Rhinolophus ferrumequinum: one gene and its partner. Each later gene encodes a partner of the first gene's protein in a complex. Links are inferred from orthologs where the notes say so. Each region holds a gene or a part of one and is shown on either strand. Other genes may lie near its edges. The genes, in order: CFAP36 and ARL3.

Region 1 (16,501 bases):
GCAATAGAAGGTTTAGGCACCTAACCGAAGGTAGAAAGGTGGTTTGGCTGCAGTCCTACCTAGTTCTTCACCTGTTTGACAAATATGTCCAATAGGATTCTCAAAGGCTACTTCCAGCCTTTGTTTCACAGTTCAGGGGTTTGGGATGGAAAACTCCAAAGGGAATGGTGTTAATTAGGGGTAACTTTTCTGTGGATGGTTAATGTCATATTGGAGAGGGTTCCTGAGGCTGCCACTATTTCTAGGCTCCTCAAATTCTCCACTTCAGGACCAAATGATGCATTTATCCGGGCAAGTTTTTATTTAGTGTCTGTCTCGGCTTGAGGTCTGTTTTTACTCATCACTATACATTCAGGGCATATATATATGTGTATGCCTTGAATATATATATATATACATATATATATATATATGTATATATATATATATATTCAGTCATTCAGTCCTTCATTCATTCAATTAATATTACATGTCTATTTTATTACCAACACACCAACATAACAATGACCTCTTCAAAAGCTGCAGGAGTTAACAGCAAAAAATTTTCAACACTCTTAAAGTGACTTTTCCTCTCACAAAATCTTCCCTGTGCACCCCTGAGTTTAAGCAAAAGTTGTTATTTCTAAATTGATTTGCAGATATTCTGGAGCGTGATTAGCCTAAATTATCCTAACTCTGCTGGCAAGAGCCCTCTGTCTACATGTGATAGCCCAGTGCTCTCAACACCAGTGAGTCTCAAACTTGAATGAACGTAACATGAATGAAATGAGTAGGTATTACTTTTGATTATGAAAATAGACAACAAAAGAAACTTCCAGTTTGGGGAGAGGAATATAAAATACTTTAAAGAGTTTAGCAAGATGCTTGGAAACAAGAGTTTAGCAAGATGCTTGGAAATTCAGTAAATATATAAAACTGAAACAACATTCAAATGTACCAATAATGCTCAGTTTGAAATATATAACTAAAAAGGAAGCCTAACTTAAAATAGCAGCAGACATGAATGTATGTTAATGACATTAATGAAACTATCTTGCCAATATGAAGAAAACTAGAAGATTTTCCTGAAAGATAGTAAGTACAAGAAAAGCGGTACCATATTTTATAAGACTAATATTTTAATGTCATTCTCTCATCAATTAATTTACTTAAAGCAATCAGGCAAAATCCCAATAAAAATACGTTAGAAGAACTTGAGAAAATAATTTTGAAATTTATCTGAAAGAATAAACAGGTAAAAATAGCTAACATCTATAGCCATAATAAAAAATGATCTTATATTACATTAATTTTTAAAATGATATGATCACAGAAAAATAAAAAGGATTGTCTCAGGTTTTATGTTATTTCCTGAGTTCATATTATTTTGTTAGCAAAATGTTTTCCTAAGAAACAATGCAAACTTAAATTTTGTATCATAAACTGTGAGTTGGTGGGGATCAAGGTAATAAGGCTGTATTTTATCAGGATGCTAGACTAATCTCAGTTACTGACCTGAATGAAGTGTAGCATCTCATTTCTGCTCCTTCCTGAAGCATTCTGAGTCATCTCTTTCACCTCTATTAGGATGGCCTCCATCACCAGACTCAGCATCTTTATAGAAAATTGAGTTTTTTTAAGTATCCAGTCAGTCCAATATTTCAATGTTTTCAATAGCTGGATTCCAGTCACATATAATTTCATTTAAAATTAGCTTTTGGCTTTCATATTTAGGCAGCTACCATTATTCTCAACTACTGAAGATTATAACTTGAATGATTTTAATAAATGATGAAAATTAGCTTCAAATGAGTGGTTGTTCCCACCTTTCTAAAAATAGTGCTTATCAATTTGTTAATCAAACAATAATTCACTGAAATTATTCCTTGATCCTATTAGGTCATTTGAAACCATAAAACTTTTCAAGCATACATTCAAATTGCTCATAAAGAAATACAAGAAGCAACACATGCAGTATTGTTACAATAATACAACCACTAAATCTTGAAATTTTAATAATAATGGAGCTGACGTGCACACTACATGTAAAACTGGTATATACTGAAGTGCGTACTTTTAGCAAGTTTAAAGTGTAATTACAGTAATGGATTCAGTAAAATGGCCTCATCTTTGAAAAGCAGTTCAATGATATAGCTGCAATTCCCATACTTAGATGCCAATTCTATTCTTATATGTTTTCATTACAATTTTCTTTGGAAACTCTTCTTGATCATATTTTACCCATGACCGTTTTGATATCTATCACTATATATGGCAAAATGTTCATGTCCAATAATTAAACCAAATTATTGCTGGTTTAATTGGATGGAGAGATTAAACATTTACTCTGCAAAGATCAATATATTTCAGCAAAATCATCAAAATCCAGTTTGAATATACGTAAAATAAACCCATTCCCAAGCTAAATTTTTAATGAGTGACATGTATGATTCTTTATAACGAAAACTGCAATTCTTACTGAGAGATCTAAATAGAGACTTAAATAAATGGGGAAAACATCATGTTCTTTCATGGGAAAAAGAAATATAAGGATCTTTTTTTTTGAAATATAAGGATCTTGATGTTTCTCAAATTAACTTATAGCTTTGATGCAATTCTAATTAAAACATTATTTTTGGAGACCTTAAGAATAGTAAAATTCATAGGAAAAAACAAAAAATATAAAAGATATTTAATCTGATAATAAAATAATCAGATAAACTACATTACTATTAGATAATTAAATATATTACTATGGTTTAAAAGAATGCCTTTGACTGATCCTCCCTCCCCCACTGTCCCCTATACTAATAAGAAACCAAGTTCCTTAAGACCTCTGGGCCATGGGAAGTTTGGTCCTGGTAGGTATCGATTTCTTTTCCTTTTTCTTTTTTCCTGTGATCTGCCACCTGGTGGCCTGAATCATCAACTACGTTTTCACGGTGGCAAGATGCCTAGGGTTGGCTGTTGTTTGCTCCTTTAGTTTACACTTCTGCTGACTAGCCAAGGAATTAGAGGCGAGTGACAGGGTCAAAGGGCACTAAATGACATCCTCCAATCTTACTTAAAAGCACTCCTATATAAAATGACATGATGTCTGGGTTTCGCAAAAATGTTGACAAATTGTTGAAGCACAGTGCTTCTTTTGTGTATGTTTTTAAATGTGTACAATAAAAGATTAAAAATAGAAAAAAAATCATTGCTCTCAAAATTATAAATGGTCAATTAGTATATGAAAGAATCCTCAATCTCATTAACAATTAAACATAGGCAAACTACAATGACTAAATATTTTTTACCCTTCAGTTGAAAAAAAAAGCACTAAAATGCTTTTAGTGCTGAAAAGGTGTGGAAAAATGAACATATAATCTTTTGGTGAGAATTAATACTGTCTTTTGGAGAGCAACTTGGTAACATTGATGGAAAATTTTATTGTTCTAAAAATGTTTCATATCCTTAAACTCAGAATTCCACTTCTGTTTTAGGAAACTACTCAGGCAAGAATGCAAAAATACATGTACACTGATATTTATTGTAGCAGTGTTTAAAAGGGCAAAATATTGGAAATGAGCATAAATAATACATTCATTAACTAAAGGAATATCTGTATAATGAAATACCATGCATCAATCTAAAAAAACAATTTTTTTGTATTAATATTGAAAGATATCCTTTGAAAATGAGGTAAAAACAAGTTGTAGAAATAGGAATGGCCTCATTTTGGTTAAAGATAATATATGCTAATATGTGCATTAAAAAAATCTGAAGGTAAATAACCACACCATTTGCAGTTTTTTTTAGGTGGTAGGAAAAAAGAAGACTTTTACTTTGTTGTGTAGTTCTATGATGTTTGAGTTTTCCTCGATGTACATATATTAGCTTTCCAACAGAGAAAGCAATAAAGATAAATTTTAAAAATGAATAAATAAAAGAGTGTTTTCCTGCCTTCCTTAAAAAACGTTCCATTATTAGCCCAATTTCCTACTGCCTCCCACATCAGGATGGTTCCCAATCAGGATGCTTCCATCTCTTCTGAAGGGGGAAGAAGCTTTTCTCATCTTTTTTTGTTAGAGAGTCTTGATCTCAATGTCCTGGGCTCCAAATAAGAATCTTGAAATTTTCTTTACATTTCTCCCAGAACATTCTAAAAAGGACTAGAGCAAATAGGACCCTCACTGACTTCCTTACTATGCCAGAAGCCCAAACTACCAAATTTATTGAGCCCAAACTAGTGGCCTCCACAGTGGGTACACGAGATATTCACGGGCACTCAGGGAAAAAGAATTAGATTTTCAACCTATATATTTTTATATTACCCTTTGTTAATTTCAATTTTTTTTCAAGTTTAAAAAAATGTGTATTATACAACTGTTTATATTCATATATATATATATGTACATGCATGTAGTTCATTAGTAAATATATATTCACATATTAAGGGGAATAGTAAATAATTTTTTACTGATTAAGTATTTGGTCATAAAATTTAAAGTATTTGGTCAAAAAAATTAAGCCATTAATGTAGGTTACAGATGCTTTTAAGAGAACTAAAAGCAGATCTAAGTCACGTATAAACATATTCTATAAATTAGTTATCCTTCCCAAAGTCACCAATACAGTAGTTAAAAGGAAAAAAAGAACACACAGGAAAACAGGTGAGAAAACCTAATGGAAGACAAATGCAAGAATCATCTTAGTAGGTAATAAAAGGTAGACAGGAAGAGAAGAAAGTAAAACAGGAGAATTATCTACACATACATAAACAAAACAATGAAAACAGACATAATGAATAAAGAAAGGGAGGTGAAATAAAAAGAAATAGTTCACAAAAAAGGCCCTGAACATTTAGAGATCAAGTGAAAGTAAGCAAACAATCATACAGTCGGAATTGCGAATACCATGTCCAGAGTTCTTTATTTCAGTGTCTGTCTAGCATAGCGCTTGATATATATAGGAAGCACTCAACGAATAAAGAAAGGTTTTTAAGCTGTGCTATTTTACATCAAATGAACGTGTTTAGCCACAAATTGAAAAGTCATTGTATTTTTGTTATTTATTTGCTGCTATTTTAAATCAAGCTGCTGAATATTTTATAGATTATGAGGAATAAAAAACAACAGACATTCAAAAGAAAATGGAAATGTGATGCTACATCTGCAAATGAAATAAAAATCTAAAAATTCATTGGAGAATTTGAAGATATGGCAGGTAATTATTTATTTGCCAGCCCACAGAAACCTCCTCAATCCCTTTGCTGTTATATAAACCAAATGATCAAGTAAGAATATTTGCAAGGAACCTATAATTTAGAACTTCTAAAAAGTCTTGCTATAGCCAGAATAAAAGCAATTTATAGGATTAAAGGAATGACCTTTTTTCTCTCTTTACTTGAAAGCTAAATTCATACCATTTGGAGTAGCAATTAGGTCGTTCATCAGCGATGTTTCATATGTTGTATAAATTACAAATGATAATGACACTTCTATTGAATTGGTATTTTTATGCCTGTTGCTAATAATAACTTTGAGCCATCTAATCGAGAATGCAAGCATGTTTTTTTCAAGTTAAAAAAAATATCTGCTCTACCAGTAGTCACACCTCTACTCTCTCTCCCAGGGGCAGAAAAGAGAAATGGATTCTTTTTAGGCAAATATGAGGCACTATATACTGAAATCATCATTCACATATTCATCAAATATTCATTACGGGACTCTTAACGTCAAACATTGTGTTGGGATTGGAAATACATCTGTGAAATTAAAAAGTCTGCTTCCTGGGGAACTCACAATCATTTCTCTATTCCTCCTATGATTAAATCAACAATCTCCAAATTATCTGAGATTTATCTGTCCGTGGGTATGGATATATAGACTCATGGATGTAAAACAATAATAAAAAGGATAAGAATTATTTAGCATTTCACCATGATTACTGCAGAATGCACAATGCTTTCTCTTAAAAAAAAGATTATAGGTACAATTGTCTAACAACTGCATACTGTGTTATTTAGTAATTCCACTTTCAGGAATGGTAAAGACCAGGTGCAAAGATTTAGTTACAAGGATGGTTACTACAGAATTCTTTTTTAAACAGTACAAGAAACAGCCTAGATCAATACAGCCTTATTTAAATAAATTGTGTTATGCTCACACAATGGAAAAGTAGGTACTATAGACTGAATTATTTGCACGCCCCCAAAATTCCTATGTTGAAATCCTAACCCACAATGTGATGGTCTTAGGAAGTGGAGACTTTGGTAGGAATTAGGTCATGTGGGTGGAGCCCTCATAAAATGGGATTAGTGCCCTTATAAAAGAGACCCTGGAGATTCCTTTACCCCTTTGACCTGTGAGGACACAGAGAGAAGATGGCTGTCTTTCAACCAGAAAGAGGGCTCTCACCAAACACTGAATCTGCTGACTCTTTGATCTTGGATTTCCCAATCTTCAGAACTGTGAAAAATAAATTTGTTTATAAGATATCTAGTAAATGGTACTCTGTCATAGCAGCCTGAGCTAAGACACTAGGTAGCATTAAAAAGGATCATGTAGAAATGTTTTTAGTGACATGGAAAAACGTCTGTGATGGATTGTAAAGTGCAAATGGGAAGTTACCTTGTTGATTAAGTATCAAGTAAAGGGAAGTACAAGCCCTAAGTTTGCTTGGATCCTGGGGGAAAAACTTGACCTTATAGTCTCAGTTTTCCCATCTGTTATGGGCTGATGTGTCCCCCCAAATTCGTATGTTGTAGTCCTAACCTCTAGTACCTAAGAGTTTGACTATATTTGGAGATAAGGCCTTTAAAAGGGTAATTAAGCTAAAATGAAGTCTTTAGAGTGGGCCCTAATCCAATATGACTATTGTAAGGAAGGAAAAACACTTTTCTCTACGCTCTTAAGCTTAGTTCCTGGGTCCTGTGAATTAAACTGACAAAGGACAGATTAATAGGAGAGAAGGCATACAATTTTGTTAGTATTAAAATTTTTATGTGTGTGGGGGCTTCACAAAAATGAAGTGAAAAAGTCAAAGAGCAAACAGTTGGGGGCTTACATATCATTTTAACAAAGGGTGATAAATTGTGGAGAAGTGACTAGACAAAGGAATGGGGATTTGGGCTCCTAGGGCTGATAAATTGTGTGAATGACTAGGAAATATATGGGGAGGGTTAAGATACTTCTAACGGAAGATAAGGATTATTTTAGTAAGATCTGTTCATACAGACTCATCTCAGCATTGACTCCTCATCTCTAGTAATAAGAGTGCCCTCCTCTCCTCTCCTCTTTCTGGTATAGGGACAGTATCTTTCTCACAGGAAATTTATGCTCTGCTTTGATGCAGATGGGGGAGAGCAGAGAGCTCTTCCTGTGGCTGCTTGTTTCTCAGTTGCCTTCAGCTCAAAACACTCAATATGCCAAAATGGCATATTTGGGGGTATCATATTCTGATCTTCAACTGATGTCTTTACAAGAGAAAATTTGGATACAGAAGGAAGATCATGTGGACACAGCACATAGGTGGCATCTAGAAGCCAAGGTGGCCTTGGAAGAAACCAAACATGCAGACACCTTGATCTCAGACTTCTCACAGTCTCCAGAACTGTGAGAAAATAAAATTCTGTTGTTTAAGCCACCCAGTCTATGGTACTTTGTTATAGGGCCTAGCAAACTAATGCACCATCTATAGGATGGGGAAAATTTTAATGCCATCTTTACTTAACTCTTAAGGTTGCACTGAGTCAACCAGATATAAATCCCTTTGTAAACTATAAAGCACTACACAAATGTGAGTAGTTGTTATTTACATGGTCCCTCAAAAACCTGGAGGAATGCAGCCATCTTATTAAGATTGAACATTTTAAACTTTTAGTAAGGCTCAGTTCCCATACAGAGGATGGGGGAAAGCATTTTCAGTAGTTATGCAGTAAGGAACATAAATGTCTTGCCAGTAAAAGGAGAAAGGCAAAATAGAGAATGGTTTCTTATACCCACGCTGCAAGTTGTTAAAAAAGAAAACAAAACACCTAGATTACATACAATAGAAATAGTTAATATGTATTGAGCATTTACTACCAACCACGGTCCCAAGTACCTTTTATATGTGTTCTCTAAATAGAACTCTTATCAACCAGATGGTAAAAGTACTGTATATATCTGTGTGTGTGTGTGTGTGTGTGTGTGTGTGTGTGTATGTGTGTGTGTTGGGGGTCTATTTCAGTTTCTTCTTTTACAATACATATGCTCAATATGAAAATTTGTTCACATGTAGTAGATAAGAAGCAATAAAATTGCCAAAATGAGAAGTTGTGATTTTTTAAGAGATGACTATGTTTGCACTACTGGGAAACATGAAAAACACTTCCTGACTGAAAGAAGTGACCTATGGTAAACTATACAACACACACCCACCTCATCTTCTTACTCTTACTCCAATATACCCATATACATTGACCCAAGAGCTTGTGCACTATTCTTCTGAGTTTGTGTTTATTTCATGATAAGTATATTGAGTATGCATATTAAACCTGCATAAGCATCCTGATTATAAGAATCCCAAGTACTGAGTAAAAAGCAAAGCCTTAAGTTTTGAGGAGAAATTTGAAATAATAAAATGTTTTGAAATACATGACAGAACTTACAGCGAATCCACACTGCTCACATTCACGAACAACGCTGAGAAAATAAGTGAAAAGAGAGTGTGTGTATCCCAGTTATCTTGTGTCTAGTGGAATTGGAAAACACTTGGAAAACACTGAACATAAAGACTCTAATGCCAAGTAACGCTGAATACAGTTGAATAGCACTTTGTGGCCTCTCGCCTCATTATAAACCATACAAGCAACTGCTTTACGAAAAGAGGAAATTCTCAGAACAAAAGTGGGATTTCCATTTTATGCTGACTTAGTAAACAGAACAATAAACCAGAGTAATCCAACTCTGGTATCACATTATTTTAGCCTAAGAATGATGATGTCCTTCTTTCTTTTTACCTCTTCAAAAACCATAACACTTTACCACACCCATTTTCAGCAAAAGGTGTTTGAGGCACGGCTACACAATAAAAAAAAAAATACTTATTACCTCCCATTTAAAGTCTATATGGAAAATATGAAACTTCTATGTGGCAAAAGCCATAGTGAACTAAATTAAAAGACAAATAATAAACATGACATTGCAACATGCAACAAAGGGTTAAAATTCTTATAATGTGTAAAAAACTCTTACAAATCATTAAGAAGAAAAGAAGAATAAGAAACGGTCAAAGTATATGAAAAGTTAACACAGGAAGAAACACAAAGACTAATCAACATGAAAGTGCTCAACTTCAAATTTAAAAATGCAAATTAAAGTTATGCATCATTTTTAACCTGGCAAAGATGGCAAAGATGTTTTTCAAAAAGAATTTAAAAAATAGGTTAATTCTCCCTTTGGAAATTTATTCAAAGGAAATGAGACTGATATCCAAAACTATATGTGCAAATATGTTCATTATATAATTGGTAATGAGTTTAAAAACTGCAGTCATTAAATCTAGCAATTGAGAATTGGTCAATTCTTTCATTTAGCCATTCTGCCAGAATCTACGCCTTGGAATAGTTAATAAAACCAACAGCTTTTATAGACACAAAAATGTGTTTTTCAGTAATTTGTAGAAGGGGAAAAATGAATACACCCACATCAAGGGAGGGGGAAAAAAGGGAAAAAAACCTGCACACTACTGATCATATTTATGCATCCACGTATGATATTTTGTGTATACACAAACAAAATAAAAATGGAATAAATTATATTGAATACTATGTACTATAAACAAAGGAGTTTTATATGAAACTATGACTATATTAAAAGTGAAAAAAGTTCCGTAACTGTACATACGACACTATTTATGTCAGTATATAAGGTTGTTTGAAGATAGTCTGGGACGCCAAGCATCTTGACCATGGACCCTGGTGTTATTTGACCTAAGATTTGCTCAAGTAAAACATTTACTTAAATGAATAATCATTTTGATTTTGCCCTTGAAAAGCTCCTAATTCTAGTTTATTTCCATTTATGCAGAAAGGCTAACTACCCACCTGGAGCTACAAGATGCAAAGACTGCAGAGCCAATTAGCAAGTTTTAACAGAGCTACTTTGCTCAACTTTGTATTTTCAAACAACTCTTAATTACAAACACTTCTGGGCCAGCAGGGTTGAAAATGGTTGGCACTTAGCTGGGTTCGAAGCCTTTAAAGCCCTTTTAGTCGGAGCGCGGGTCACAACGCGAACTTCACCACGCCATTTCTAGGCTTGGGCTACCAAGCACTTCGAAGAGGGAACGCGGAAAGCCCTGCTAGGACCTTCAGCCAATGGCTACGCTTCTACGCTTAGCCTTAGCAACGGCAAGCCAATGGGCGGAAGGTTATCTTTTGATCCACTGTTCTTTCCCAGCCAATCGGAAACGTTTTTCGAATGCCCCTGTCTAAAATGCGCAGGCTTCGGGGAACTTGGCATCACTTCTGGGCGGCTGCGCGTGTTGCCATAGCGACCATTATACGTTAACTGGTTTATAGCTTTCCTCCAGGTGGCGGGGCGACTGCGGGGGCAACTCTTCCTTTCGCCCATTCCCTCTAGGCTCCCTGCGGCGGAAAGGCCTTAGCAGGCTCCGGGGGTCTGGCCTAAGGTTCTGCCGCGGTCCGCGGGGGCGGGATGGCTGCGGAAAAAGAGGACGACGCAGAATGGGTCGTGGAGAGCATCGCGGGGTTCCTGCGAAGCCCGGACTGGACCATCCCCATCTTGGACTTTGTGGAGCAGAAATGTGAAGGTAAAAACCAGAGACCGAACCGACAATCTCTTCTTGCTTCTCTTATATCAGCAGTCGTCAGGGAGGTGGTCCGCACAAACCATCTTTATCTCCTGGATTTCCACCTCTGTCGGGCAGGTTTAGAGCTGGTTTGTAGGAGAGATTGCTGTCACTGCGCCTGTTTCTCCTTCATGGAACTGAAAACGGGGACCGAGACTCCCCTACCACTGGGCCCAAGCACACATCCGAAAAACATTAGATTTTAATCCTGTGTTGGGTCTCACACCCCATCCTGCACGTTTCTCCTCTGGACAAGTGCAGTTTAGGTGGGCTTCTTCAACAATTTTCCTTGTGACTTAGGAGGAGAGGCGTCAGTTTACCTCTGAGTTCCTTCTGATCCCAAGAGTTGACCAATTTGGTTTCAGACTTAGCTGAAAACAGCGTCTGTTTTGCATGTGTTCCTAGTGTTGTATAGAGCAGATGCCAGAGGAAATCTAAGTAACATCCCAGTAACACTGAAATTAACAGTGTTTACATACATCACTGACTTTGGGTTGTCAGTGTGTTGTCCACTTCAGATAATTTAAAGATGAGTTTTGTATAACTTTGTGATGTCAGCATGTATTTCAACAAACATTTATTGAGTGTCCTTGGGCCAGAAGCTGGGGATAGAAAAATGAATAAAACAAAATCTTTGTGCTTGAGAAGTTTATCGTTTAGTGGGGAAGACAGGTAGGTAAGTGTAATTTAAATGTAAAGTGGCAGGTGTTATAATAAAGGTAGTCACATGGTGCTGTATTATAAAAGTTCAGAGGAAGGCATCTAACCAGCCTAGGAGTTGGGAGTGGGTAACAGGTCATGAAGAATGTGCCACTTACAATGTCTTGAAGAATGGTTGGAGAAAGGGGTCCAGGTAAAGGCAAAAAGATCAAGGACTGGCCTGAGCAAAGACATGGGGATTTGAAACACCATATGTATTATGTTTGGTGGTATTTCAAGTAATTCTGTATTGTTAAGAGTGCAAAGTTTGGGTTTTAGAGTGGTGGGATATGAGACTTGGGGTCCAATCTTGGAGGGTTTTGTCTGGCTTCTAAGGATCTTGTACTTATTCTCTAGGCAAAGAGCAGTCATTGAAGAGTTTTAAATCAAAAATTACAGAAGTTAGTTTTGCATTTTTAAAAGATGATCCAAGGGGGATTAAAAAAAGACTATTATTTACAATTCATGAATTTGTCCTGTTTCCCTAATTAGATTGTAGCTTCTTGAGGGAATATATATCTTTCTAATCCACATTGTTTCATACTTATCATTCAGTAAACATTTATTTTGGTTTTATTTATTTTAACTTCATTATTGATTTATATGAAATAAAAATGGCCTACTCACTTTTGGTAAAATTTGCATCAGCGAAGGTCCAGTACAATAAAATAATCTGGAGCCTGTTGTAAAAGGAATTAATGTTTAAAAACTATTAACAATAATGTTCCATTAAAAGTTTATAAAGAAACTGTTGTCTTATATTATTGAATGAAATGTAATGTTTGTCTTATATATGAAGATCTTAAGTAGGAAAAATAACTTGTTTAGAATTAACACTATATACAGTATGTATGTGTGTGTACACACATAAAAATATGTTGACTTGTGAGTATATATCCAATTATCTATTTGTAAGATATAAGGAGTGGACATTTATATTTGCATTAATGATTTTTTTTTACATTATGCAATATATATTTTTTAAATTTAGTTTTTGATGATGAAGAAGAAAGCAAATTGACCTATACAGAAATTCATCAGGAATACAGAAAACTAGTGAGTATACTTTTTTACTAATATTTAAAGTTAATTAGAATAATACTAATTTTAGCTTTTCTAGATTAAACAAAAATGGATTTGTCCATTAAAGTTCTTTTAAAAAGTTCAGTCTACCCTAATAGTTCAATCTACCAGTTCCATCAGACTCCAAGGGTTTTCATCCTTATGACTTCGTATGTCTTCTACTCTAGAATCTAAGGAATGGATTTAGGACAACCATGTTAAGGGATCTTGCATCTAATCTTTAAATTTTATTCTTCTACTTGTGCATTCAGGGAAGTGTTAATTATTAACTTAGTTATGGTTATCTTGTGATTTAAAAGTGATTATGGGTAGCAGAAGAGTTGTACCTCATTCAACTTCATAATCCTGACATAATCCTCTAGGAGTTATTTCTAATAGAGGAAATAAAATTGCATTTGACTCTGCAAAAATTTTAACCTTTGTTGTTTTTTTCCATCAAAGACATTGTCACTGCTATATAATTTTATGTGGATTAATAATTGCAAACAAGCATTTCCTTATACTTTTCTAAACTCAATACTTAACATGAAAACTGTCATTTGGAACTTTTCTATATAAATTATTAAGGTTAAACTTTCTCTTTTTAGGTTGAGAAATTGTTAGAAAGTTACTTCAAAGAAATTGGAATTAATGAAGATCAATTTCAAGAAGCATGCATTTCTCCTCTTGCAAAGACCCGTACATCACAGGTTTTTGCTTTTGTATTATTCTGCTAACATAGTTTTGACAAAAATGCCCAGAATTTCACTTAAATTTGCTGTGTTTGATTGTCAGAGTATAATATTGTAGACATTGTAAGAGTGAAAAGCTAATTCATCACATATGGGTTCTGTTTTATAGCTACCTTTAGTAATGATAACTGGAGTCGTTAATGAACTGATGCAATTAAAAAGGAACTTTCTGAACTCAGAACTATAATAGATTACTGTTTTACTTATATAGATCTCTGATAGTTTTGCAGTTGCCCCTTGTTTAATCTTAGCAGATTCACAGTACATGGTTCCTGGGGCTTCGTTCTCTTGGAACTCCTTTTATTGTCTTACTAATTCTGCAGTGCTGGGCTGAAGTAGGTATCGTGTATTTATAACTTAGATTTACTGAGGGCTTATGCTAGCTGCTGGTTTAGGCACTCGATGTGTATTATCTCATTTAACTTTCTTGACACTCCTTAACAAGTTGGTACTATTTTACTTCCATTTAGAAATGAGAAAAGTAAAGCACAAATACATTAAGCATCTAGTGCAAAGTCCACAGCTAAGTAGGTGGTGGAACCGGGTTACCAGACCAGGCACTCCAACTGAGAGGCCTTCCTCAGAGATTGAGGCTAGGGATACGTTACCACTACCCAAAGAGCCTTCTCAAAGAGTGGCTTGAACTTTCCAGCTTCTACCAAATAAACTATAATTTCTTAATGAGATGATAGTGAGAATTGTCAGTGATGTGACCTCAAATTTTATTTTCAGCCTTCTCCTGCTATAGTTCTCCAATACATTATGTATTACAGTCATTCCAGGCTATTCATTCTTGTAAGCATCTATGCACTTGGCTTTGTTCATGCTATTGCTTTACTCTGGAATGTTTAGCCCCCACCTCCCCACTCCACCATCCTTCCTTTACCCAGAAAAATCCTTCCCATCATCGGGCCTGCCTGACATGTTACTTCTTAAGTCAGCTTTCCTGATCTCCCCAGTCTTACTAGCGCTAGTCGGACTGGGCACTTTTACATCTTTGGTGCTTTGCCTTAAATTACAGTTTCTTACAAGTCTGTTTGCCTTACTAGATTGTAAATCCTTTGAGCTATTTTCATTCTTTGCATTCTCAGCATCTAGCATAGAGAGGAGAACTTAGTTTCTAGTAGGTAGTTCTTAATAAATGTTTGTTAAATTATCTTTTTATTGTGGCTTAGAAGAGGTTGCTTTGACTTCTGTTTAATCCAGCACTTCCTGCTACATTTCTCTTTTGTACAACTGCTCATTGAATGACCACCTGTAATTCTAAAGATAGCAACTCTTTATTGTAACGACATTTAAAAAATATTAAAAGTTATTGGTATGCCCACACTAATGTAAACAAACATGATTTTATTAGTTAACTCTATAAACCAAAAGTTGTTTTACAGTTTACCAATAGCTTTTGTTCTAAATGTACCAAAGGTTTAGTTTAAGGAGGAATGATAGGCATTATTTTCTTTTTAGTGGAATTGGAAGAATATGATTGAAAATTATTAACTAGTATTTAAATTTCTTTTAAGACTTTGGTATTTATTTTTATTTTCCTTGTTTTTCAGGAATATTTTTTGCTTTGGTTAATATTTGTCAACCTTTTAATTAAGCCATTGTGAATGAGCCTGAATTACTTTGTGAATAAAGATGTTCTCAGTTATAGCAGATACATCCATCTTTTGCTTTCATTACCAGAATAACTACATTATTTGTGAGTGAAGCTGTCCAGAATTTTAAAATACTGTTTTCAGATCAAGACTAACACATCTTTGTCTTTTGTTTTATTCTGCAACACCTTTGGTTTATTTGGAGTTGATAAGTACAAGGAGGCAATTCTTTCAACACAGACAGACCTGGATTTGAGTCCTAGATCTGTCATTTACTAGCTGTAAGACTCCCGACAAAAGTTGTTTGTCAGTTTTCCTTTCTTATCCATTCTTATTCTCAGTTTCCACATCCATAGACAGGGGTATAGTATCAACTTAGAAAGGTTTTTGTGAGATTTAAGAGATAAGGTTCATAAAGCATTTAGTACAATACCTGACATATATAAGGTGGTCTATAAATGGAAGCACCTCTTAATTAGCTATTTTGGTGGTTGATTAGCACTGTGCTAATCAGGCCAAGGTCATAGGTTCAATCCCCATGTGGACTAGTTAGATTTATTCTCTTCTGGAGCAAACTCTTTAGCACCAGATGCTGAATAGCAACATGATTGAATTAGCCCAAGGCTGTAATTATTACCAGAAAAACAGCTCAAAGCACATTATGTATTGCTTTGCAGCAACCACCTTTCTACATAACGATCAGAATGCTAATTTCCATTATGCCAATATGGTGTGCCTAAGAACAAAGTCAAAAAAACCAGTTGTTTGCCCTGGGTAACTTAAGAGGTAATTTTTATTTTGTTTTCGTTTGCATTGTTTGATTTTGATTTTTAAACCAGCCGCCAGCTCTCATTGAATTCGCATTGCTAAAGCCAACTTGAAAAATTCTTTACCCTTGGTTTGGGCATCATTAGATCTAGACCACTGGTCCTGGATAATCTTTGTCTATTAAAGTCAGCTATAGTAGTAAGAGGTCTCATGACCATAATTAGATGAAGGACACTAGTGTGAAAAAAAGAAAAAAACAGACTTTTTAAGAGCATGTCTTTCTATTAGGTATGTGTGGATTCTTTAAAAATGCTCATGACTTAGGATATCTTTCTAAACAGTTAAGAAAAATAAGACAAAGACTGAGATATTTATTGTTTTAATTGTCGTCAGATGAATTTTGTAATTCTGTGGTATTTTCCAGTTGAAACAGGCAAAAGTGACTTTCTCCATTGCTTGTGATTTTTTGATGAGAGAGCTCATCACTGATTTCTATGTATTGCAAAAGCCAGGGACTTATATTAATATATAGCAAGAGACAATATTTTTCCTCTTGTTTTTGTTTTTTACTTGATTTGCTTTGACTTTTATAAGGTAGACATTAACATTTTCTGAAACATTTGTAATAATAGTAATTTGGGAAAATTATGATGCTTTTTTCGCCAATAGTTTGGACCACTGTAAAGATTACATATGTGGTATACTTTCATTTTCTAAAAATACACACAGGATAATTAGCAATATTTTGTGTGAGTGCTAGAAAGAGTCTTAAAAATTAATAGTGTATTTTTTAGAGCAGTTTTA
Region 2 (15,956 bases), on another chromosome or scaffold:
TCATTTGTTCAAAAGGGGAACTGGGTGGGGGAGGGAAAGAGGAAAGGAGCCATGTTGATGCACAACTATTCTGGTAGTGTGTGCTCCTTCTGCAAGGGCGATAGCGATACGTTTCCATTTACTAGTCCCAAGAGAATGCGGCTCATAGATATTGGGAGGATGATGAAGGTGCTGATGGCAACAGCAGCACTATTAGCTAACGCTTAGGTAGCATTTGTCTAGGTACTATTTTGAGGGCTTTACACATATCACATCATTAAATTTTACAACGGAGGAACATCTGTGCTTTCTCTAATCAAGAAGTAAGAACTGTGAGACAACGGGTTTCTCCTTTTTCCTTTTCTGCTGAGAAGCTTAAAGCCAAGTGCCTAGAAAACATCTATCTACTCCTCTGGCTTCTTTCAAAGCTTCTTGGTTCTGTTCTATCTTTGGACACCTTGCTCTGCTACATTTCATCCTGTAAGCCATTCCCAGGGCTTTGGAAGTAGGCCGAGTTCACAACTTAAATACAGTTGCAGTGGAAAGGACTAGTATAAAACCCCCCAGGTCTACCCTACCTCCTCCATGCAACACCATTCAAAAAATGACTACCACAACACTCATCACAAGTTAAACCTAAGTTACCCGCCACTCCTGTGGCCACCACTGTTGGAGCAGCCAATCCTCAGGGACCCTTCAGAGGCACAGCCTGGAAGCCCTCCTCACACCCCACCTCAGCCCCTGCGGACCTCGTGATTTGTAGGGACGAAAAGGGAAAGGGACCTCTGTACTTACTGCTGTCGCATCATTGGGATGTTGACACAGTTAGCAGCAGCCACTGCAGCAAAGGGCACCCAGCGGCCCACCAGGGGTGGAGCTCTCTGTTGGGGGAAGGGAACAATGGGAGTTATTCAGGTTCACTGCAAGATGGGAGTCGAGGGGCTTAAGGACCATGAGACTAGAAATCAGACCTTGCTACTGCCACAAATCCAGACACCCATCGGGGAACCCCAACTCCCTCAAAGGACCAAGAAAGACCAACCTGGGGACAGCCCTGCTGTATTTCCCACTCCTTCGCTGGGCTCTAGCATACGCAACTCACCGAGACTAGGGAAATGCCTAGTTTTTCCTAGGATTTTGCTGCCCCCTAGTGGCCACCGTGCCCATAGCAGCCCCAGACAGTACCTTTGTCAACATGTTCATGCCCACAGCAGTGGCCACCGCAGTGGTTGTGGCTGTGATGTAGGAAAGGGCCATCTGCCTAGTGGAGGAGAGAGATGCTTGGGAGTGGGGAGCCCTGCTGGCTGAGGGTAAGACCATGGCTTGAGTAAGAAAGCCTGGAAACAAGGCTTCATGCCGAGTAGTTCATGGATCTGTCCCCAGTGTCATCTTGTGACCTCCCCCCAACTCCAGCCCCCTGGGCCTCCTTTCAGTACTTTGAATGCACCAAGCTTTTTCCTACTTCAGAACCTCTGCACACTGCTGCTCCCTATCTGAGGAATTCTTCCCTGGGCTCTCTCTTCAGAACTCTTGTCAGCTCTACAGAAAGGCCTTCCCTGACCAGCCTATCTACACAGACACCTCTCTGCTGTTCTCTATCTTGTCACCTGTCTCTTTCCTTAATGGCGGCAATCACAATCTGAGATCATTGTGCTTGTTTTCCTAAAAGACCTTAAACTCCACAAGAACAGGGACCACACATCTTACTCAAATGTATCCACGACACTTATAATTGTGCCTGGCACATAATACACACTCAAGAACCATCTGTAGAATGACTGGAGAAGAAATCTCTGTAGAATGAACAGTTTGAATCGGTCTAGGAAAAAGCTACTCTCTTAGTCAGCCTAAGAAAATACTTCCACACCCTAAACGGGGAGACTTGGTCACCCGCCCAGTGCAAGCTCCACCCAGGGACGACTGGGAATCCCTTAGAAAGGCTGTTCCTTCTGAGGCAAAAGGACAGCCACCTGCTCCAGACCCACGTGGACAGCATGGGGTTCAGGTCTCCTACCTGCCGGACGTGGGGGAAGCCGCATTCCTGTTGGTGTAGTTGACTAAAGCATTGAAGGACTGGTTCACCCACTGCCAGAAGACGACCGCCGGCATCGTCCTACCGGTAAGGGAGACACAGGGAGGAGGAGGATGGAAGGGAGGGCTTGGTGTACACCCGTCAAAACACGTTACCTGCTGTACCCTAAATTGTTCCCATGCTATTTTATGCACCTGGGCCTTTGCATAGACTCGCCCCTCTGCCAGGAACACACACACACACACACACACACACACACACACACACACACACACACACTGTTCCATACATGGCTAAATCCTGCTGTTGAGAGATGGGGTCCTCCTTGGACGCTTCCTGACCCTTCCCCTGCCCTTCGTAAGACATAGTCATTCCGCATTCCCTGCTCCCACAACCCCGTATTCTCTCCTCAGTTTATGATTTAGCAAGCTGGGCTGTAACTGTTTACTTCTTGATCTCCTCAACAAAACTGGGAACTCCTTGAGAGGAGGGACTAAAGTCTCTATATTCCCACGGCCTGGCTCGATAACTGGACAAATGAATACATGGGGGAGGGAGGAAGGAAGAGGGAAGAGAGGAAGGGGAAGGAGTCACACATCCAGCAGCTACAAACAAAGTGTATTCTCTCCCAACTGGGCTAAAGGGTCTTCCTAATTTTTTACTGGGATATTACATGATAAAAGTACGTTAAACTCATTGGTGAATAAGAGGGAACTAGGATTGCTTATGCGTTGACAGTTCTAGAGAGAACTGCCTCAGTTACAATCCAGGTACCCATATTTCCCAGCGGTGTGAACTTGGACAAATTATATAACCTCTCTAGAGCCTGTTCTTTATCTATGAAATGGAGATGATAATAGTACCCCATTTGTAGGATTGTTGACAAGATTAAACGAGGTAATACATGCAAAGAATTTAGCACAGTGTCTGGTATCTGGTAAGGGATCAATCAAGATGGCTATTATTACCATTGTAATACGGCTCCCTGCCTAGCACATCCAGGCAGCTATACCTCCCACTGCCTTGCTCTCTGGTCCCACCTGTAGAACTGGAGCATGAAGCCCGTGATGATCATGCCACCAGGGACCTGAAAGGACATCCGTCCGATGACATTCATCTTCTCCCCGGTGTCAGGGTGGAAAGCCGAGTCATACAGCTTCTTGGCATACAGCAGTTGTTCCACTTGGGTGCCTGGGGGCACCATCCCCTTCCTGCCACCCGAGGACAACAGGCAGAGTTACCTCCCTGTCCCCCCACCCCAAGTCATCCTGCTCTCATTTCTCCCCCCTTCCCGAGATCTCTGCCTATTCCCTCACCTTCACTTTCCACCTCCTCCCTAGGGGACCCATGAGTGTTGCCCCAACGCTTCCAGCCCCTTCCCCTAGTCGTTTACCTGCTCTTCTCCACCATCACCTTGGCCCAGTCCAGCTCCCGCTCTGGTACCAGGATAGTGCGGGGGTCCGTAATATTAAAGAAGTGCTTCACCCGCCCCAGGAAAGTGCACTGGTCCCAACGGGGGGCATCGATGTTAAAGCCAGACAGGTCAGCCTCCATCTCGCTTACGCACAGAACCGCACACTTCAGGAACACAGGAAAAATTAGTCCTCCAAATCAAAGCCTGCTCTGAACACCTCCCACTGAGTAGACCTCCCGCTTTCACCAGTCACTGGCATCACTTAACAGTTTGGGAAGGGTCACCAGACCGAGGAATCGGGTACCAGCATGTGCTTCCTATGTGCCTACTGGTGGCCAGCCCTGTGCTTGATCATGCTGTGGGGGAGATGGAAAAGGGACAACACAGCGCCTGTCCTTGGGAGGTGAGTCTGACGAGGAAAAAGAGCCCACCAGTGGAAGAGTACACAATACGTGCCCCCACAGTAATACAGGGGATGAGTGGAAGCAGAGATGGGGGTGGGGAAACACGGTAATCAAAGGGGACTTCCCAGAAGAGGTGGAATGTGAGCGAGGCCCCAGGAGATAGAATACATTTATCTGAAGGAGGTAGAAGGCATGGGATCACATTAAAGGTGGAAACCACCACAAATAAAGGTGGAAATGAACACGGCACAATGACGTTCAGCATTTGAGTGTCTGTGTGTGTGGTGCCTCCGGCGCTGTGACAGATCCCGGGCCGTGGCTGTGAGTGAGGCACTGCATCCACCCTAAAGGAACTTCAGAATAGGTGGTAAACAGACGAGTAAATCAACCTGGACAGCAGTGTGAACAATGCTGCTGATGGACCAGTCAGAGAAGAGGCATCTACAACAGAGATGACCGCATCTCCCAGTTTGCTGGGCCTGTTGGCCTGGGGTGAGTATTAATAGCACCCCCTTTCACTCTCAAAAGTGTCCCAATTCGGATGATAAATTACATGGTCACCTTATCTAAAATCGATGAGGGATTCTGCACGTGCTTCGTGAGTACAAGACATAAACATGTTTTGAAAGATGTGTAGAAGTCAGAGAGTTGGAACAGCAGCATTCCGGGCAAAAAGAAGAGCCACTGCTGAAAGCACACAGTGCGTGTGGGGATGGTAACAGTTCACACTTGCTGAGTACCTACTCTATGCGAGTCATTTTGCTTAGTGCTTTGACTACACTTTCTGAAATCATCTTCACCATAACCCTGTAAGAGATAATCTTTAATTTAACCCCATTTCATGAATGAGAAAACAGGCACAGAGAGGTAACTTTACCAAGTCACACAAGCATTAGCCACTGACAGAGGCAGGAGTTTAATTCAGCCTGATTTACTTCAGAACTCACATCTATAACTGGGTTCTGGAATCCGTGACTTGAAAAACTAAGGCAGGTCTGACACGTATGCAGCTTGAACATTGTCACTCCTGTCCCTGCAATAAGCTGAACAAACTAAAACTCAACAACTCATCTTAGACCCATCAGTGACCTGAGGTCAGGGTGAGAGTGAGTGATTTTTCATGCGGTGAGTTTCAAGTGCCGCGGGACTTTCTTCAATGCAATAGGCTGCCACCTGTCTCAGGTCGTTCGCAAATGCCATTGCCCGCCCAGAATGCTACTCTTTCCCCACTTCACTAAATAACACCCACTCATCCTTTTTTGTTTTTTAAGAAATAATTTTCAGATTTAACTTACATTTTCTACTACTAGGTCATTTGTCTTTTTTCTTGAAAATATTACCTTAACTGAGAATTTTCTATTACGTAGACAATGACAAGTTCGCAGGCACAGCTTGAGCACCACGGAGCCCATGGGAAAGCTCTGGGCTCTGCATTCCAGGGACAGGCTGGCTTGGCCTCCTGCAGGCTGGTTCAAAGACCAAAGGCATTTCACCCAGTCTTAACTGATCCAGGAGTGGGAAAGGGGAAAGCATTCACTTTCCCTGACTCCAAATGTACCTAAAAGGAGTCGGCCCGATCACATACTGCCTTGGCTTACAGAGCCCCACACTTGCGGTCCCGGGAGACAACCCAGCAGAGCAAAATGCTATGTCTCCCCCCTCAATACACAGGCACACACGCATGCACGCACGCGCGCGCGCACACACACACACTCACTTCTCAGACATCTCTCTTCACTCTTGACCCAACATTGGAAAGCCCTGCCTTTCACAAGGGAAGCTCTTCTACCATGAAGGGGTAATCATTTGCTAAATTATGCAAGAACCTTTGCCTTCATTACTAAGGTCAGAATAGGAACTGCCTAATCCCTGTCTTATGTAAAAGGCAAAAAAAAAAAAAAAAATGTATGTCTGGTACATCTCCCCCCACACCACTGCCTGGCAATGGGCACAATTCCATGGCTCCTTCCATGCAAATTCAGCCCTTCTGTTCCACATGTCCACAGCATCCTGTCCTCCTTGGAAGCAGGTTGGGCTTTTGTAATTGTCACTTCCTTGTTATTTCCAGTTACTTGTGTAAAGTATGCCTTACCTGACAGGCTGTAAGGTTCATGCTGTATCTTCCATCTGCCCTCTAAAGACACTTACTGCCTAACTGAAATGCATTCCAATTTATCCTTGTGTTCAAATGGCATCAAGGATGTCACCTCTTTTAAATCAAACTCAGAACCTGCCTTGGTCACAGAAGTAAGAGCAGGCCTTCTTTCACAAAGCTGCAAATTATCTCCTTCTCCTATACCGCATCCTATCTGGTCTCTACATTTTCTTCCAATTTCTCTCCTTCTTCCCACATGAACCACATCTAGTACTCCCTAAAAAAGTCACTATCATGTCCAGGGTGGCCCCACTAATGAAAGAATATGGTTCCACGACTGAGAACAAGGGGGGAGGTAGAGATCAAACAGTGATTGACTGATAACTCCCTTTTCTTCTAAGATTAGAGAATGTCGCAGCTCAATGACATTAGGGATCAAAGATCTCAGTTCATAGAAGAGGAAACTAATGCCTAGATTCACATTGACTGAGCCAGCATGGTGAGCATCGGTGGCACACACAGATCCAGTCCTGTTTATCCATCCAAAGATGTGACAATAGCTAGGGTCTCACTTTCCCAAGGTCACAAGGCTTAGGGTCATCGAGATAGGTCCGCTATCTACTACAGGTTATACTTGTCAAGAGAGAAAGAGAGAGAAAGAGAGGAGGAGGAGGAGGAGGAGGAGAAGTCAGAAGAGGAGGAAGAGAAAGGGAAGGAGAAGAGGAAGGGAAAAAAATAAAATAACCTACTACATCTCCCGAAGTAATGCTCATCCCTTCAGAGAGACCTGATTTTCTCTGGCAAAGTATCAGAGCCAGAGAACAGATTTCCAAATCCCCTCTGGAGTAACCTCTTGCAAGGGAGGGGAAGTACCCAAAATGTCCCTGTTTGTATCCCCAAGTAGGGAAAAAAACGAAACATTATTGCTGGTACTCACATCTGAGGAAGATCAAAGCCATCAAAGACTCAGGTCAGACACAAAGACCACTGGATGGGGAAGGTTAATGTCAAGGCTGCTTAGGGCAAGTTGGAGATTGAGACTAATAATTAAACAAGCAGGTCTAGGTATATGCTTACGTACACTCATGTGACCCCAAGGCAACAACTTAGAAAGGGAAGTCTGCCTTGCCTTTTTCACAAAAGAACCAACAGGCTAGAGATGGGTAGATTGTTGGAGTGATGCTCTGAATGAACCATTCATCTTGCATCTCCTTAGTCAAGGTTCTTAACTGAGTTCTCTCTCCAAGGATCTAAAGCAGGCACACAGGTAGCAGATGTTTAAAAAAAATACTTTAGTTGAATGCATAAATAGCTAAGGACCATTCAGAGAAAAATATGCGTTCATTCCAATTATCTTAAGTAGACTGGAAAATCTGCTGATAGGAAGAGGGGCAAAGCCAAAAAACCTAGATGAAACTATTAATGCAGTCATGTGTCGACTGATGACAGGGATATGTTCTGAGAGATGCATCATTGGGCAATGTCATCATTGTGCGAATGTCATAGACAGCACTTACACATATACAAACCTAGAGGGTACAGCCTGCCACACACCTAGGCTATACGGCACCGCCTATGCTCCTAGGCGACATGTAACATCCTATACAGCATGTTACTATACAAAACAACATGAGGTTACACTAAGTCCAAGAAAATATGATGCAATCATGGTAAACACACGATGTATGATGAGGCTACTGCTGGTGTAACTTCGTATACTGTTTTACAGCAAACTTTTTTTGTAAGTAGAAAGAGTATACTCTAAAATAACAATAAAAAGCATTGCATAGCAAATACAGAAACCAGTAACATAGTGGTTTATTATTATCAAGTATTACGTACCGTGCATAACTGTATGTGCTATACTTTTATAGGACTGGCAGCACAGTGGGTTTGTTTACCCCGGGGTCACCACAATATGTGAGTAATGAGTTGTGCTATGACATTAGGACAGCTACATCACTAGGCGATAGGAATTTTTTAGCGTCATTATAATCTCATGGACCACCAACATATATGCAGTCCATCGTTGACCCAACACTACGTTATGGCTGTTAACAGCTAAACCCTATATAGCACTTCCTATGTGCCAGGTATTGTTCTATGAACTTGACATAATAATTCATATAATCCTCACAAGAACCCAGTGAGATAGGTAAGACTCATACACACATGTGCAAAGTTCCAGGTGTACCATCTACACCCACATTGTATCAGCTCTTAAAAAAGTTTTGGGTTTCCATTGCAAATACAGACCACTCTGTTCCTCTTACCTGAACGTTACAATAGTGTTTAAAAGCACTTCCTCAAGAATCAACAGAACTGGGTTCAAGTCCCCACTCTATATTACTTAAAACAACCAATTTCCAGGGTTGTGAGAATGAAATGGAATCTTGTGGGAAAAGCATTTCACTAGAAAGGATGTAGTTTCCACGAAGCTAGATTTTCTCAGCTCTTGTGTTTCCAGAGTCTAGAATACGACCTGGCTCCTAAGCCATAACTCTTCCTGTACTCTGCATGGGGAAGCAGTGGGAGGTAACACCTCCCAACTCACCCCGGATCCCTCTCGCTCTTACTTGCCTGGAAGTGTAGGCCTATTTTTTGCCTCCTTCAGGACCGCAGAAGGCGAACCTCTCGGTCAAACGTAACTTAGCAAAACCTGGCCATTCCAAAATGCCATTCACCCGCGCCGTCAGCTCACTAAGAACTCAAGGCCAGTCCCCCGGCAGCTTCTTGCGCTACCACAGGCAGCCTCCCACCACTGGGACTCCTCCATCCCGCACTAACACAGGTGTGTGGAGATGAGTGCGCAGCCCTTAACGCACCATCCCTACGAAAGACAGACGAAGGCGCTGGGGCCTAAGGGAGAGGTCCATGGGCAGTCCCAGGCCACTCCTCTCGCCACGTGGCTTCGGCAAGAGTAAGCCCAGCCCGCGCTGCAGCCCCGCCAGGGCAGTCAGGATAGAAACACAAGCTCCGTCCCAGGACGTAAGGACTGGAGGTAGATGTGGCTGGCGACCTCCCAAGACAACTTACCTCGTCCCGGGAGAAATGAACTGAGACAAATGCCACCAGATGAAGCCCGCGTTGGAAGCCTGGCCTGGGCACCGCGGAACTCCGCCCAGGAACCGCCCCCACACCCTCCTGACCAATCACAGGCCTGGTAGCCTCCACAGGCCACGTGGGCGAATTGTCACCATTCCCGGGTCTCTACAAGCCCGCAGCCACCTCCTGCTTCTCAAGCAGCCCGCCTGCGCAATGGGCGGGCACTTTGGTGCGCTTGCGCACTTAAGGGAAAGCGGAGCTGGACCCCGCCCCGTCCTGCTGCTTTGATCCTCCGCTGTGCGTGCGAGAGACGTTGGGGGCGGTGCCGCAGTAGTTGCCCCTGGTAACGGGGGAGGCAAGAGGAGGAGGAGGAGGAGGAGGAGGAGGAGGAGAAGAAGGAGGAGGAGGTGGGACTCGGCGGGAGGATGGTGAGTGTAGGGGCCTGGGCCCCTCCGGAGCCGATCGGTCACCCCCCTCCCGTCCCCAGGCCCAGGGCGGGGCACTGCGCTTAAAGCCAAGGAGGGAATGGGACGGCGCTCAGCCTGCTGTCTGGGTCCAGGATTGGTTTCGGGGGACGGCAGGGAGCCCGGAAGGTGTGGGCCCTGGAGGGAGACCTGGGCCTGGGGAGGCAGGTGGGCTTGCAACGGATCCCTAGACAGGGGAAAGGGCTGGAAGGGTGCGTGGCTGTCCCCATTCGGAGTCGGGGCTCCATCATTACTCGGGGAGCTGGGATGAGGGCGGATCTGAGGGGCTGCGAAGATCAGCTTCCGCACGCAAGCTTATATCTGCCAAGGGAATCCGCCTCCCTACGCCGCAGGAAAGTGGGGTCCGCCAGGGGCGGGCCAGAAGCGGGAAGCAAGGCCAGCGCTACTGCGTTTGCGGTCGCCCTGGCGGTACCACGGGAGATGGTAGCCTAGCGCTCCTCTTCCTCGTTGTGCGGGTCTCTGGAGGGAGGGTTGTAAATCCCAGGACACATAAAACATGCGCCTCTTGGAAGAGATGCCTGGTAGATTTTACGCCGCCTCGGTGTCTGCGTGGCGGGTGTGCTTCTGCAGTCCGGAATTATTTATTTGCTAAGGGTTCTGCAAGGTCTGGGGGATGGTGATGACCAATCTTCCGTTCAATTATCCATGTTGATGGAAGCAAATTTGCTGCCCGATCCCTAGTATTTCCTTCAGAACCTGTTGCAGCCCTCTTTTGCCTATGACTACACCAGAACCAATCTAAGCTTAAGGTCTCCAAACTAAAAAGGAATTGGGAAATTGAAACTGGAGAGTGGCCATCAATTTGAGGCAAGCCTTTTCCCTGTCAGACCTAATGAAAGCTTTCCCAAACTCTAAATTATGATGTGTGGCAGGTTTGTTCTTTGTTGATTTCTGTGAAGTTAGTTGGAGGGTGTTAAAATGGAATTGAGTATTACTGGAATCTATCAGTAAACTTTTATAGTTGCCGCTAAAAAATCGGAATTGAGGAGTTTTAGAGCAAGCGAAGAAAAATTGATTTTGAGGCATTTAGAGCAGGTTTGTTGGCTTACCAACTGTAAAGAGCAAGCACTCAAGATTAGTTACTTCCCTACCCTAACCCCAGTTCCTTTTTGACTTTTAGAAATGCTGAACCACTTCTAATGATTTACGAAGTAAGAAAAAGCTAGATGTCCACAAGGAAAAACTATGTGTACCTTTGGTCAGATTATCCAATGAGTAAATTTCGATAGGACAAAAAAAAAAAACCTCAATTGATTTTACATTGTCAGATTGTTAAAGAAGTAGAATTATTTGATCGGAAGTTGCCAATCACATTCACATTTCACTCTTACTACATTGCAGTTTTATTAACCTCAGGCTAAACAAGTTTTTACATGTTTTCTTTTTATTAATCGTGTATACATGAGCTGTCCATTTAAAGGCTGTTTTTCTCCACAAAAATGAGTATAAATATAAATATTTACTCAGAAAATAACTACAATTGAAATGAAAAAGACATGCCAAACCAACAGAATTAGATGTCATCATAAATGAGAAATGCATGAGAGTAACCTAACTTTTCCCAGTTTGTTTATCAATTAAGTGGACTGTACGAGTATAATTTCATGATTGTTTAATTTATAATTACAGACCACAATAATTTAAATACTGCTTATGTTTCCAGGTGCAAATTGACACTGTATACAACAAATTGACAATGTACACAACACTGTTGTATACAACTGTTATGTTAAGTGATCAAGACAGATTTTGTTTTTCTTTTTTCCTAAAATGAACAATAAGAAATTAGGACAAATTATTCTGGATTCTTTATCTGGTTTCCAAAATACATTTTTTTTTTCTATCTTCAAAAGTGTGAGCTATTCTTAGAACAGAAAGTAGAACATGGAATTTAAATAGCCAGTGGTATGATTAAGTGTGTTACATCTGGTATCCCATAAGCCCCCCTGAGAACTGTACAACTGAAGAGTAAGTCCCAGGTTTTTGTGGGGGGGGTTTTGTGTGTTTTTTTAAGCCCTCAGCTGTGACATAATTTTTCTTTTTTTTTTAGTTCGTAATACTGCAACAAAACCCATTGGTTTCTCTGAATATTTAGCATCAGCAGTTTTACCCCTGCCTTATAATACCAAGTCGTTGGTGAAATACTAAGATGACAATAATTTCAGTACATAACTAATCATTGTTATTTAATATATCACGCCTTCATTCACGAATTACTTATGGAGTACTTTCTACATATAAACCTAGCGGTAGTTATCAAGCATGTTCAACATTTGAATATTGTTCTCAAGGTGATGCTTTCTGATCAGAAAATGTTCAGTGAAAAGTAAAAAAACAAAAAACACACAACTACTGTCTTGAGTGCCTACTATGTGTCCTGCTTTACACATTTAATTTTCATAGCGTTTTTCTTAAGATATAAGTATTGTTTCCATTTTTCTATATCTAACTGTGCCTGGTGTTATGCATATAGAGAAGTCCACTGCAAGTCTATGAAACTTTAAAGCCTGCAATGTTTTTTTCATTAGGACTCTAGTGAAGTGGAACCCATGCTTTCTGAAGAGATGCCCATATTTTGTTCCTCAGGAAACATTGTATTTATTTAGTATAGAGATGAGGAGAAAGAAGACAAAGTTTGGGTGATGTTCCCTTTATCAAAACTAGAGGAGTTCCTGAAAATAACATCTCACTGGGCAGCACCAATTTTTTGTTAGTTTAAAGAGGTATAAGTAAATTGAAGTCGGTTCCATTTAAACTAGTTATAGAGAGTGCATATACTTGACAGTTGGTTTACTAATTTTGATGTTTAAATTTTAGCTGCTTCTCACAGCCACATGTAGTTTTCCCATATGCCAACACATCCCTCTTTTCCCCTGTACCACACCAGTTTCTTTGAATGACCTAGTTTGTATCATTTTAAGTCAGTGCGCCATACTTCTGCCAGTAGTTGAATTTAAGCTGATTTTGAAGCAGATAAAATGTCTATAGTAAATAGCACATCTATTCACGATTTGCATGTAGAAAAGTTTGTTTAAATGTTTTGTAGCTGAGCCAGATCACTTCTGTCCACCAGGGTACAGATAACTTGTATACACACATGCTGATGACACACAATCTACAGTTAACTGAAGTTCTTGTTTCTTAAATTGACTTTTAATGCCATAAGGAGTACAGATCATACATAGAGGTCATGTCTGTTTTGCTCACTGTTATATTTGGGGCACATTATGTTATTTAATGATGAATGGATGGATGGATATTGTGACCAAAAATATACTTTAAAAATCCATTCCCTTGTATTTATGCTGCAAAACTTAGCTCCATAATAAAATTAACTTCTAATTTCTCCCTCCTTTCATTTGACATTTAAAATGTAGGATGGATGGATATATATATATATATATATATGTGCATATATATATGTATATGTATATATATGTGTGTGTGTATATATATATATATATATATATGAATAGAAGCATAGAATAGACTTATTTTGCTGTCTTTCTCCAGCCTCTTAAATCAGCTTACTTTGTACCTTTTAGGCTGAACCCTAATGTCTATAAATATCCTCTTCCCTATTTAGCAAACCCTGATAATCCTGTGATCCTCTGTCTTCAGTAGTTGGGTTAATATGATGCTGTATTGTATTTGCATTTGTCTTGCCTAGACCATGCTTGAGACGCCATTCATCATTTTTTTGGAAGAAAATATTAGCTGAACTTTCCATTTCTCTGTAATTTCACTTACAGGTGAAGCAGGTGATGTCATTGTTTCCCAACAAGGAAAATTACTCATTAGAAATGTCGAAGTATTGATTTTTATACCATTCGGTTAATAAAGTTTAGCTATAGTTAAAATGGTTTCTTTCTTATCTGTGCTTTGCTTCTCTCCTTTTAAAATGAATAAAAATTACATTTTTAATTTTTTAATTTCAAATATAGTGAGTATGTAAAAAAGTCTCAGTTTGCAGAATGCAGTATTTTTATTTACTGATTTTTCAAAAGAAGAGACATATGAGGAAAAACCTAAAACATTCATTTGAACCTTGAAAATATGTTATAGAAAACAGACCTTCCTTCACAATTTCTATGCTAATAGATAATGCATGAGAAAAACTGTACCTTTACTGTCATTTAATATACTAATATGATAAATTCTAGTTGTTTGAGAGTTTTATTAGAAAGGTAATGAGGACATCTAATCAGGAACTCAGGAGTAGGACAATGTGTTTTCCGTGTTCTTAGCCTTTTTTTATCACCTGTCCCCTGAGGATCGCAGAATTCTAATTTTAACTGTTCTGAAAGGTGGTATTATAAATGAGTGATTGCAATGTAGCTAACAGAAGCCAGGGAGACTTCTCATAAATATAGTTTTAAAAAGGAACGGTGTCGAAGTATTCAAGGCCAGATAAGATGAAAACGAAAGAAATGTGCCTTTAAAAAGACCTGCCTGTCTTCATCCTTTTTGTTTGTTTCAGATCTATTCAGCCTGTCTTCCCCAAATCTTTTGGTATAGAATTTGTCTTTCTGTCTTAAACCAAATGTTCCCTTTTATTGCTGGAAAAATGTGAGGCATATAGAAGTTAATGTCCTTAACAAGTCAGTACAAATCCAGTACTAGGAGTGGTAATCAAAGAGTCTCTAAGGAGAAAGGAGTTCTTAATAATTAAGCATATTTGCATATCATTGTCCAAAGACTCAGTTGTTGAGAATTGTTTCACAGAATTATTATTTGATTTTAGTGAACAGACTGGTGTGAATTATTACCTGGTGCGATGCAGATAAAAAAAATACGATTTTATATAGCTCTAAGACTCAGTTTGAAGGAATTTCTGCTTGGGCTAGGAGATTTGATTATATGTCCTTTAAACTCTGGGACTCTGAGTCTTGTAATCATGCCTCATTGGAACAAGAGTGTCAGCTGCAGGACTGAACAAGTCTTACAAGACTTTTCCACTTCCTAGGTAAAAAGCAACATGGTTTACTTCCATCCATAAAAAACAGCAATTGTAAAACCAAGAAACAGAACTATTAGGTTACTAGTCAAAAATACCGTGATTAACTTTTGATGTTTTTTGCTTCATGAGTAACTTTTACAATTCCCTAACTTCTCTTGTTGTATCAGATTCTTCATCTGAAAAACAGATAATCCATACTGTACACTGTTCTGTTAGGGTCTTTGTGAGAGTTAGATGATGGTATTTTGAATGATGAAGTCTTAAACATGAACTGAAATAAAGTCTTAAACAGAGAGCCCAGATACAATTTTATACTTTTGTATTTATTTGTATAATACCTTTAAATCTTGCATTAACTTAGGTGGATAATTCTATTTAATTCAACAACAATTATAAACCGTGTTTCCCTGAAAATAAGACCTAGCCGGACCATTAGCTCTAATGCGTCTTTTGGAGCAAAAATTAATATAAGACCCGATCTTATTTTAATATATAAGACCGGGTATAATATAATATAATATCGAGTCTTAGATAATATAATACCCGGTCTTATATAATATAATATATAATACCAGGTCTTATGTTACTTTTTGCTCCAAAAGACACATTAGAGCTGATGGTCCAGCTAGGTCTTATTTTCGGGGAAACACGGTAATATCAATCTAGTAAGTGCCAGGCATGTGAGAATCAGAAAATGTAATTCTTACCCACAAGAAACTTCACTCTAGTAAAGGAAAAAAATACAAAAGTCAGTTACCTATAGTGTGATATGATGAGTGCTATACGCGGAGTTTGTATAAAGGGCTTTAGGAACCCAAGTTGGGTAGTAGTTTATACTTCCAGGAGATTTGGGGTGACTGCTAAGCTGGATTGATAGGAGGAATAAGCCATGCTATTTATTAAGTTGCTGAATTTACTAACCTACTTCTACCAAAACTCAGAAGGGGGAAGTAAATGGAATAAATGATATTAAAGTGGAAATAATAATAACTAAGCTCTCCACAACCAAGAACTTTTTTCAAAGAGAAGAAGATGTTCTGATGTTCAGTAATATCAAAGTCAGTACCCCAAAGTAATCTCTCTTCTTCATGGTTGTTCAAGGGCTTACTCTCAATTTTGCGCAAATTGAAAAGTGCACCAGACCAGGAGGTGAGACTCCTTCTCCTGGGCTTGGATAATGCTGGTAAGACTACTCTTCTGAAGCAACTTGCATCTGAAGACATCAGCCACATCACACCTACACAGGTGAGGACTGTCTTGGTCCCTAATGCTTGTGGGACACATGGAAGATGATAATAGCAAAAGACAAAATGGGAAATACAGTTTTATCCACTTCCAAGGTGTGTTACTGAGAAAAGTCTATACAGTTTAAAAATAACCTAAGATTTCAAAAATATATGAAGAGATTCCATTCATGAGATATTTAGTCAAATTCATAGAAAGTAGAATAATGGTTACCAAGGGCTGGGGAGAGGGGGGAATGGGGATTTATTGTTTAAAGGGCACAAAGAGTCAGTGTTACAAGATGAAAAAGTTCTAGAG

Evidence for each region.
Region 2: the proteins of CFAP36 (region 1) and ARL3 are in contact, whole or in part, in a crystal structure (PDB 4ZI3), measured with the Mus musculus proteins. The link is inferred for Rhinolophus ferrumequinum from reciprocal best matches to the Homo sapiens genes CFAP36 and ARL3. Residues at the interface, in NP_080016.1 of Mus musculus: Glu44, Glu45, Ser46, Lys47, Leu48, Thr51, Glu52, Lys58, Val61, Glu62, Leu65, Glu76, Phe79, Gln80, Cys83, Thr84, Ala88, Lys89, Leu97, Val100, Leu101, Ala103, Glu104, Asp105, Phe106, Thr107, Ile108; in NP_062692.1 of Mus musculus: Leu3, Leu4, Ile6, Leu7, Arg8, Lys9, Leu10, Lys11, Ser12, Arg19, Lys35, Glu40, Pro47, Thr48, Gln49, Gly50, Phe51, Asn52, Ile53, Lys54, Trp66, Ile74, Tyr77, Ser80, Tyr81.

Annotation. Positions count from the first base shown.
Region 1 is NC_046296.1:32,224,247-32,240,747, reverse strand, and holds the start of CFAP36 (cilia- and flagella-associated protein 36), read left to right. Parts: upstream 1-10,439; 5' UTR 10,440-10,664; coding exon 10,665-10,779; intron 10,780-11,617; exon of another isoform or gene 11,618-11,649; coding exon of another isoform or gene 11,650-11,671; intron 11,672-12,508; coding exon 12,509-12,573; intron 12,574-13,187; coding exon 13,188-13,289; intron 13,290-16,501. UniProt on the Homo sapiens protein: May act as an effector for ARL3.
Region 2 is NC_046299.1:22,362,915-22,378,870, forward strand, and holds the start of ARL3 (ADP-ribosylation factor-like protein 3), read left to right. Parts: upstream 1-9,345; 5' UTR 9,346-9,394; coding exon 9,395-9,397; intron 9,398-15,515; coding exon 15,516-15,659; intron 15,660-15,956. Other genes in the region: SFXN2 (sideroflexin-2), read right to left, coding at 775-860, 1,165-1,240, 1,994-2,092, 3,052-3,222, 3,405-3,565. UniProt on the Homo sapiens protein: Small GTP-binding protein which cycles between an inactive GDP-bound and an active GTP-bound form, and the rate of cycling is regulated by guanine nucleotide exchange factors (GEF) and GTPase-activating proteins (GAP).